2 linked regions of the Macaca fascicularis genome follow. The protein of the gene in region 2 purifies or fractionates together with the protein of the main gene of each other region. This does not show direct contact. Links are inferred from orthologs where the notes say so. Each region holds a gene or a part of one and is shown on either strand. Other genes may lie near its edges.

Region 1 (3,649 bases), on a different chromosome or scaffold from region 2:
CCCAGAGACAGTCAGCACCGACTATGACATGTGTGATCGACTCTACTTTGATGAGATCTCTTTTGAGGTGAGGGGGAATGGGGGCTTCCTGGTAGCTTGGGTGGCCAGGGTCGAGTCGAACAGCTGGCTGACCTAAGATTCTTTTAAACTTGGTGGGGGCTGAGGGAAGCAGTGAGCAGGAAGGCTCAGATTCCTGCCCTCTTTTGCTGCCACCGCTTGTTTCTTCCCCTGCACTGTAGGTGGTGATGGACATCTATGAGCTCGAGAACCCTGAAGGTGTGATCCTATCCATGGGTGGACAGCTGCCCAACAACATGGCCATGGCGTTGCATCGGCAGCAGTGCCGGGTGCTGGGTACCTCCCCTGAAGCCATCGACTCAGCTGAGAACCGTTTCAAGTTTTCCCGGCTCCTTGACACCATTGGTATCAGCCAGCCTCAGTGGAGGGAGCTCAGTGACCTCGAGGTGGGCTGGGACCTGGTGGGATACCTGGAGGCTGGATGATTCTTGGGGGTGAGTGTGAACAACCCAGCTAAGCTCCCTGCCTCCTGTAGTCTGCTCGCCAGTTCTGCCAGACCGTGGGGTACCCCTGTGTGGTGCGCCCCTCCTATGTGCTGAGTGGTGCTGCTATGAATGTGGCCTACACGGATGGGGACCTGGAGCGCTTTCTGAGCAGCGCAGCAGCCGTCTCCAAAGAGCATCCTGTGGTCATCTCCAAGTTCATCCAGGAGGCTAAGGTGGGAGGCTGCAGACAGCGAAGTCTCTCAGGGCATGCTGCCAGCCCTGGAGGAGACTTCCTTCTCTGGTCCAGCAGAATCATAGGCACCAGGGCTGGGAACAGTGGGCTCTGTGGGGCTTGGTAAAGGAAGAGACAATCCTAGAGTAAGTGGGAGAAGAAAGTGGCCGTACATCACACTGTCTGTGTCCCCCCACCAGGAGATTGACGTGGATGCTGTGGCCTCTGATGGTGTGGTGGCAGCCATCGCCATCTCTGAGCATGTGGAGAATGCAGGTGTGCATTCAGGTGATGCCACGCTGGTGACCCCCCCACAAGATATCACTGCCAAAACCCTGGAGCGGATCAAAGCCATTGTGCATGCTGTGGGCCAGGAGCTACAGGTCACAGGACCCTTCAATCTGCAGCTCATTGCCAAGGTAATAAGGCTAAAGGAAAGAATTAAAGGGCCACAGTGCCATGAAACCCTGTACTGTCTCCTACCTTCATCTAAGTAGGCAGGGAAGCTTGAGGGAAGGGGCTATAGCTGGAGCTAATGGTGTTGGGGCTTATGACAGTTAGTCACCCTGAACCCTGCTCAGTCTGATTCCCCCAGAGACTGGTGACTGAGAGGAAGAGTCTAGGCCTATAGATAGTGTCAGCAAGGCCATCCTGCAGAAGGCCTGACCAGTCTTCTCTGCCCCAGGATGACCAGCTGAAAGTTATTGAATGCAACGTACGGGTCTCTCGCTCATTCCCCTTCGTTTCCAAGACACTGGGCGTGGACCTAGTAGCGTTGGCCACGCGGGTCATCATGGGGGAAGAAGTGGAACCTGTGGGGCTAATGACTGGTTCTGGAGTCGTGGGAGTAAAGGTAAGGAATATTGAAACCCTTGGGGTTAGCAGAAGAATAGCGGGAGAGAGGTCACTCACCACACAGAGCTGTCAATCAGCATGTAAACCAGGCACCGACTGCAAGGCGTTGCCGGATCATGGGGGTAATGAGGTGGTCATTGTCCCTTAGGAGCTTACTTTATGGTAATAGGAGGGAAGAGAAGTTGCATCCCCAAAAAAACTTTGGTATAGAACAGGCTGTGATAAAACTACATATTCGACCTATAAACAGAATGCTGCAGGAGTTCAGAGACAGGAGGTGCTGCTTCCAAAACGGGTGATCTGGGAAGACTTGAGAGAAGGGGTGCTATTTGAATTGAGTTTTGAAGGATGGTTAAGGTTTTTTATTTGCAGAGCTTGTAAGGTTTTTTATTTGCAAGGGCACATCCTAAGCAGAACCTGAGGGACAACCCCAAGTATGTTTGGAAAGCAGTAGGGCACACAGAGAGGGCAAGCTGACCCTGCCATTCAGATGAGCTCAAGAACAGGGGACCGTGTCCGTCTCTGCTGGTGAGGGAGGAGGTCCCCTCACACCTTGGCCCTCTCTCTTCCCTCCTGCTCCTTTAGGTGCCTCAGTTCTCCTTCTCCCGCTTGGCGGGTGCTGACGTGGTGTTGGGTGTGGAAATGACCAGTACTGGCGAGGTAGCCGGCTTTGGGGAGAGCCGCTGCGAGGCATACCTCAAGGCCATGCTAAGCACTGGCTTTAAGATCCCCAAGAAGAATATCCTGCTGACCATTGGCAGCTATAAGGTACCAGAATCCATGTGGACTTCCTGAGGGCCGTGGCTCCCCGAGCCAGGGCTGACTTTGAAATGGAAGACAGGAAGAAAACAATTTCATCCTTCTGTTTGGTTTCAGAACAAAAGTGAGCTACTCCCAACTGTGCGACTACTGGAGAGCCTGGGCTACAGCCTCTATGCCAGTCTCGGCACAGCTGACTTCTACACTGAGCATGGAGTCAAGGTACAGGAACTCTGGCAACGTACCCCACTGTTGCCCTTCCCCAAGGGGGTGAAAATACTGCACCAAAGAATTATCTGGGCTGAGCATGGTGGCATATGCCTGTAGTCCCAGATACTCAGGAGGTTAAGGCAGGAGACTTTCTTGAGCCCAGGAGGTAGAGGCTGCAGTGAGCTGTGAGTGTGCAGTGAATGCACCATTGCACTCCAGCCTGGGAAACAGTGAGATGCTGTCTCAAAAAAAAAAAAAAAAAAAAAAAAAGGATTATCTCCTATTCCCCTGCTTTTATTATTACCATTATACTAATAAGCTATATTCCATGTAGAAAGCAGAATACACAGGAAGCAAAGAGAAAAGTCTCTTATAGTCTCTCTACCACTATTCTGATATTTTTCCTTCCAGAATTTTCTGTGTACATATGTGTGAGCTCATATTGCACCTAGTCCTTGGTAACCTATTTACTTAGTGTAGATATCTTTCCCGTTAAGAAATATACTTTGCCAATATCAAATAGTGGCAGCCCTCGGTCCCCACCCTATGGATCCTCAGTCTCCTCATCATGGGCTCCTCGGCCAGCTCCTCTCCCTGAAGGTTAGCTTTCCTGACCCCTGCCAGGCTCAGCTTGGCCTTGACCTTGACTCCTGGTTGGCAGGTAACAGCTGTGGACTGGCACTTTGAGGAGGCTGTGGATGGTGAGTGCCCACCACAGCGGAGCATCCTGGAGCAGCTAGCTGAGAAAAACTTTGAGCTGGTGATTAACCTGTCCATGCGTGGAGCTGGGGGCCGGCGTCTGTCTTCCTTTGTCACCAAGGGCTACCGCACCCGGCGCTTGGCCGCTGACTTCTCTGTGCCCCTAATCATCGATATCAAGTGCACCAAACTCTTCGTGGAGGTAACTTAGACCCACGTGCTGGGAGGGAGAGACTGCCGGTGTTGACGGAGGAGTGAGTATGGAACAGTCATGCTAGTAATAAAGCTTCGTGGCTACAGAGGGAGAGACGGTGGGTATAGAGAGTACAGAGCCTGGTTTATGGGAAAACCTACGTCTCTCCCTACAACTCCCAGAATCACCCTTCCCTTA
Region 2 (3,649 bases):
TCCCTATGGAGGAGAGAGGTCCGTGCCATTGCTAGATAAGATTCTCACAAGACACAACCAGAGGTCTATGCCAAGAATCATGGAACGTGGGGTTGTAAAAGTGCACAGATGGTGAATGTGGCAAGGGGAGGCTGTGTCCATCATGACTGGAGCAGGGGAAGAGAGGTAACAGACAGCGCTCGGGACTCTGCAGAATCATCGAGCAGGCCATCAGCCTTCTGCTGTGACCTTGAGCAGCCCGAGTATCTGGAGAGGCTCCAGACAGGAAAGGCCAGGTCTCCTGGAAAGCCCCACTGGGGCCTGTGGGGCCTTCACCATCTTCCACCTAGAGATGGCCCCACCCCCCGGAATGAGCACCGTGCTCTTGAGCCTGCTGGGCCAGTCCTGGGGCGGCAGGCCATGGCAGGGTGAGGCCTGGTCTGGTCCTTTCTGCTTCTACTTATGATACCTTATGATGACTAGTAATGGTGGCTTCCCTTGGAGACAGAAACTCCCATGAGGCCTGGGTAGGGCCAGGAGTCCTTTCTCTCCAACACCTTCCCTCAACTCAGTAGGCTTCTTGGGGTGGAACCTGCAGAGCTAGACAGCCGTGCTGGCGTTTCTCCACACGCACACATCCTGCCCTTGTCTCCCACTTCCTCCTGGTTGGTTTTTGAGGAGACATGAGAGAATAAAAACTAAAATGCAGTGAGTGACATAATTTTAAAAAAAAATACACACACATATATCCACACTTATATGTACATACGCATATAAATACCTAATAGCTGGTATTTACTGAGCTGTTTTTCCTATGAGCCAGGCACTGTGTTGAGCGTTTTCTGTAGATCATCTCACTTCAGCTTCACAGGACGTGAGGCAGGCACCCTATGATCCCCATATTATAGGCATGGCTATTTCAGAGCAGGTGGCTGAGGCCATGGTCTGCTCCTGACCATAAGCTGAGAAGCTGGGGAGACAGTGCGGGAAGGAGGCATTGGTGGGGAGGTGACTGCCAGACAGCGGTTGTCTGGAATGGAGGGGAAGGAGAGGCGCCAGAGGGGATCTCTGCAGAATGTCTCTCCCCTAAGTGCTGAATTCCTATTTTTTCTCCTCTCTGCTAATCTAACTCCTTTTGCTTTAGGTGAGAATAGCCAGGAGTTCAGCCCCACCTTTTCAGAACGCATTTTCATCGCTGGGTCCAAACAGTACAGGTAAGCAGGGGAGACAAGCCTGAGTGGGAAGGCGGGGACTGGACCCAGCGTCCTCGTCCCCAGCGCTTGCCTGGGCCGCTCCTGCTGACCCCGGGCTCCCTCCCTCAGCACCTGTGGTTCAGCTCCTGGAACTCGCCCAGGCTTTCCTGGCTGAGCCGCTCTCTCAGCCAAATAAGCTTTTCAAAAGGCTTTTCACAGCTTGTGGCTGACTGCCTCTGGGACACATCAACTTGACGTTTTATTTTTATTCTCCTCAGAGTCCTTAATGCACCTCCTCGTTTCCCATCAACAGGGAGGGTACTGGGAACAGAAGCTGCTTCCCACTCTTGCGTGACTGTGAGCGCAGTTCGGGTTGGTCAGGGGGCCTTCTACTGTCCTCTATGTGAGAAACCTGCTGGTGCCTTTTCTCCTGGGAGATGCACCAAGTAGGGATGCGGGCGGTAGAAAAGGAGGGGACAGATAGACTTGGTGGCCCAGTAGAAAGGAAGCCAGGGTGGGGCTCAGTCTGTTCCCAGGTTCTGCATTCCCCCACAGATGATTTTTTGAAACGAGTTCAAGTGCCGGGCGTGATGGCTCTCGCCTGTAATCCCAGCACTTTGGGAGGCTGAGGCGGGTGGATCACGAGGTCAGGAGATCGAGACCATCCTGACCAACATGGTGAAACTCCATCTCTACTAAAAATACAAAAATTAGCTGGGCATGATAGTGCATGCCTGTAATCTGAGCTACTTGGGAGGCTGAGGGAGGAGAATCGCTTGAATCCGGGAGTTGGAGGTTGCAGTGAGCCGAGATCACACCACTGCACTCCAGCCTGGTGACAGAGTGAGATTCCGTCTGGGAAAAAAAAAACAAAAAAAAAAAGAGTTCAAGCTCCCTCCCCTATCACCAGGCAGGTTTTTGTATCACTGGAGTTTGGAACCTGCTAGTGATAAGATTGTGGGGAGGGCAGCTGCCTTGGAACCAAGAAAGGCTTAGAATTTGGTGGGATTCCTTCTGCTGTCCTGGGTGCCTTTTGGCCCAGAGTAGGAGCCTTTGATAGACATACTTCTTTCAGCTGTCCAAGAGAAGCCTGTAGGCTTCCAGTGGTCCCCAGGACTACCATGAGTCTGCCTCCTCTGTGGGGACAGAAGATGAGGCCAAGGGAGGGTGGCTGAGGCCATGATCTCCTCCACAGCTGTTGCAGCAACCCATCTGTTGCCAGGTCCTTTCATACTTGGCAGGGACCCCAGTCCAATTAGAGCCATGGCAGTGATGAGCCCCGAGGCCAGCAGAGAAGGGCAGGCTCCCCGGTACCAGGCAGCAGCCCAGGGTGTCACCTTCAGCAGCAGCCAGGGACCCCCAGGAACCGTGAGAGTGGAGGTGACCAGCCTTATCTGTTCCTCCATCCGGAGGCAACAGAAACAAGCTCTGCTCAATCAGAGCTGAGAGGCCTGCCATGAGCCTGGCCCCCTCCTGGGAACTCTCCAGGGGCAGCTGACCTTGGAGAGCAGTGAGCAAACCGTGTCTCCTCCCCCAGCTCTCCCCAAGAAGTGCTGAGTCTGTACCCCATCACCATAGTAACAAGCACAGCTTCTTGGCAACTTGCCTTGGGGCCAGACACTGAGCTGGGCTTTTTAAATGAACTAAATTATTGAAACCTCATTTCCACCCTGCATGGCAGAAAATACCAAACCCATTTTATAAGTGAGAAAACTGAGGTTCCTTGGGATTTAGAAACTTGGCCGCATTCACACAAGTAATGGCAAGCTGGGATTTGACCTTGGATCTGCAGGAGTCCAGATACAAGTGTCTGGGCCATTGCCTCTTCCTGCCTCCTTGTGCTCAATATGCAAATCTGTCCCTTTTTTGACAGCCAGTCTGAGAGTCTTGATCAGATCCCCAACAATGTGGCCCATGCTACCGAAGGCAAAATGGCCCGTGTGTGTTGGAAGGGAAAGCGTCGTAGCAAAGCCCGGAAGAAACGGAAGAAGAAGAGCTCAAAGTCCCTGGCTCATGCAGGAGTGGCCTTGGCCAAACCCCTCCCCAGGACCCCTGAGCAGGAGAGCTGCACCATCCCAGTGCAGGTGAGACCCTCCACCCACTGCCCAGACCGCAGGTTCATGGGGCCTTGGAATTGGAGCCTGTGCCTTGGCCCTGGCCCTCTGTGCTGACAGCTGTGTTTCTCCCCACAGGAGGATGAGTCTCCACTCGGCGCCCCATATGTGAGAAACACCCCGCAGTTCACCAAGCCTCTGAAGGAACCAGGCCTTGGTCAACTCTGTTTTAAGCAGCTTGGCGAGGGCCTGCGACCAGCTCTGCCTCGATCGGAACTCCACAAACTGATCAGCCCCTTGCAATGTCTGAACCATGTGTGGAAACTGCACCACCCCCAGGACGGAGGCCCCCTGCCCCTGCCCACGCACCCCTTCCCCTATAGCAGACTGCCTCATCCCTTCCCATTCCACCCTCTCCAGCCC

What was found. Proteins that work in one complex are often made in the same cells at the same time.
Region 1: the proteins of MAP3K14 (region 2) and CAD purify together in Homo sapiens (affinity purification with mass spectrometry; 3 studies listed by BioGRID and IntAct, with this or other methods). This does not show direct contact. The link is inferred for Macaca fascicularis from reciprocal best matches to the Homo sapiens genes MAP3K14 and CAD.

Annotation. Positions count from the first base shown.
Region 1 is NC_088387.1:94,986,293-94,989,941, reverse strand, and holds part of CAD (multifunctional protein CAD), read left to right. Parts: coding exon 1-67; intron 68-239; coding exon 240-464; intron 465-553; coding exon 554-736; intron 737-935; coding exon 936-1,154; intron 1,155-1,420; coding exon 1,421-1,588; intron 1,589-2,175; coding exon 2,176-2,358; intron 2,359-2,466; coding exon 2,467-2,571; intron 2,572-3,220; coding exon 3,221-3,460; intron 3,461-3,649. UniProt on the Homo sapiens protein: Multifunctional protein that encodes the first 3 enzymatic activities of the de novo pyrimidine pathway: carbamoylphosphate synthetase (CPSase; EC 6.3.5.5), aspartate transcarbamylase (ATCase; EC 2.1.3.2) and dihydroorotase (DHOase; EC 3.5.2.3).
Region 2 is NC_088390.1:66,340,581-66,344,229, reverse strand, and holds part of MAP3K14 (mitogen-activated protein kinase kinase kinase 14), read left to right. Parts: intron 1-1,123; coding exon 1,124-1,193; intron 1,194-3,045; coding exon 3,046-3,256; intron 3,257-3,364; coding exon 3,365-3,649.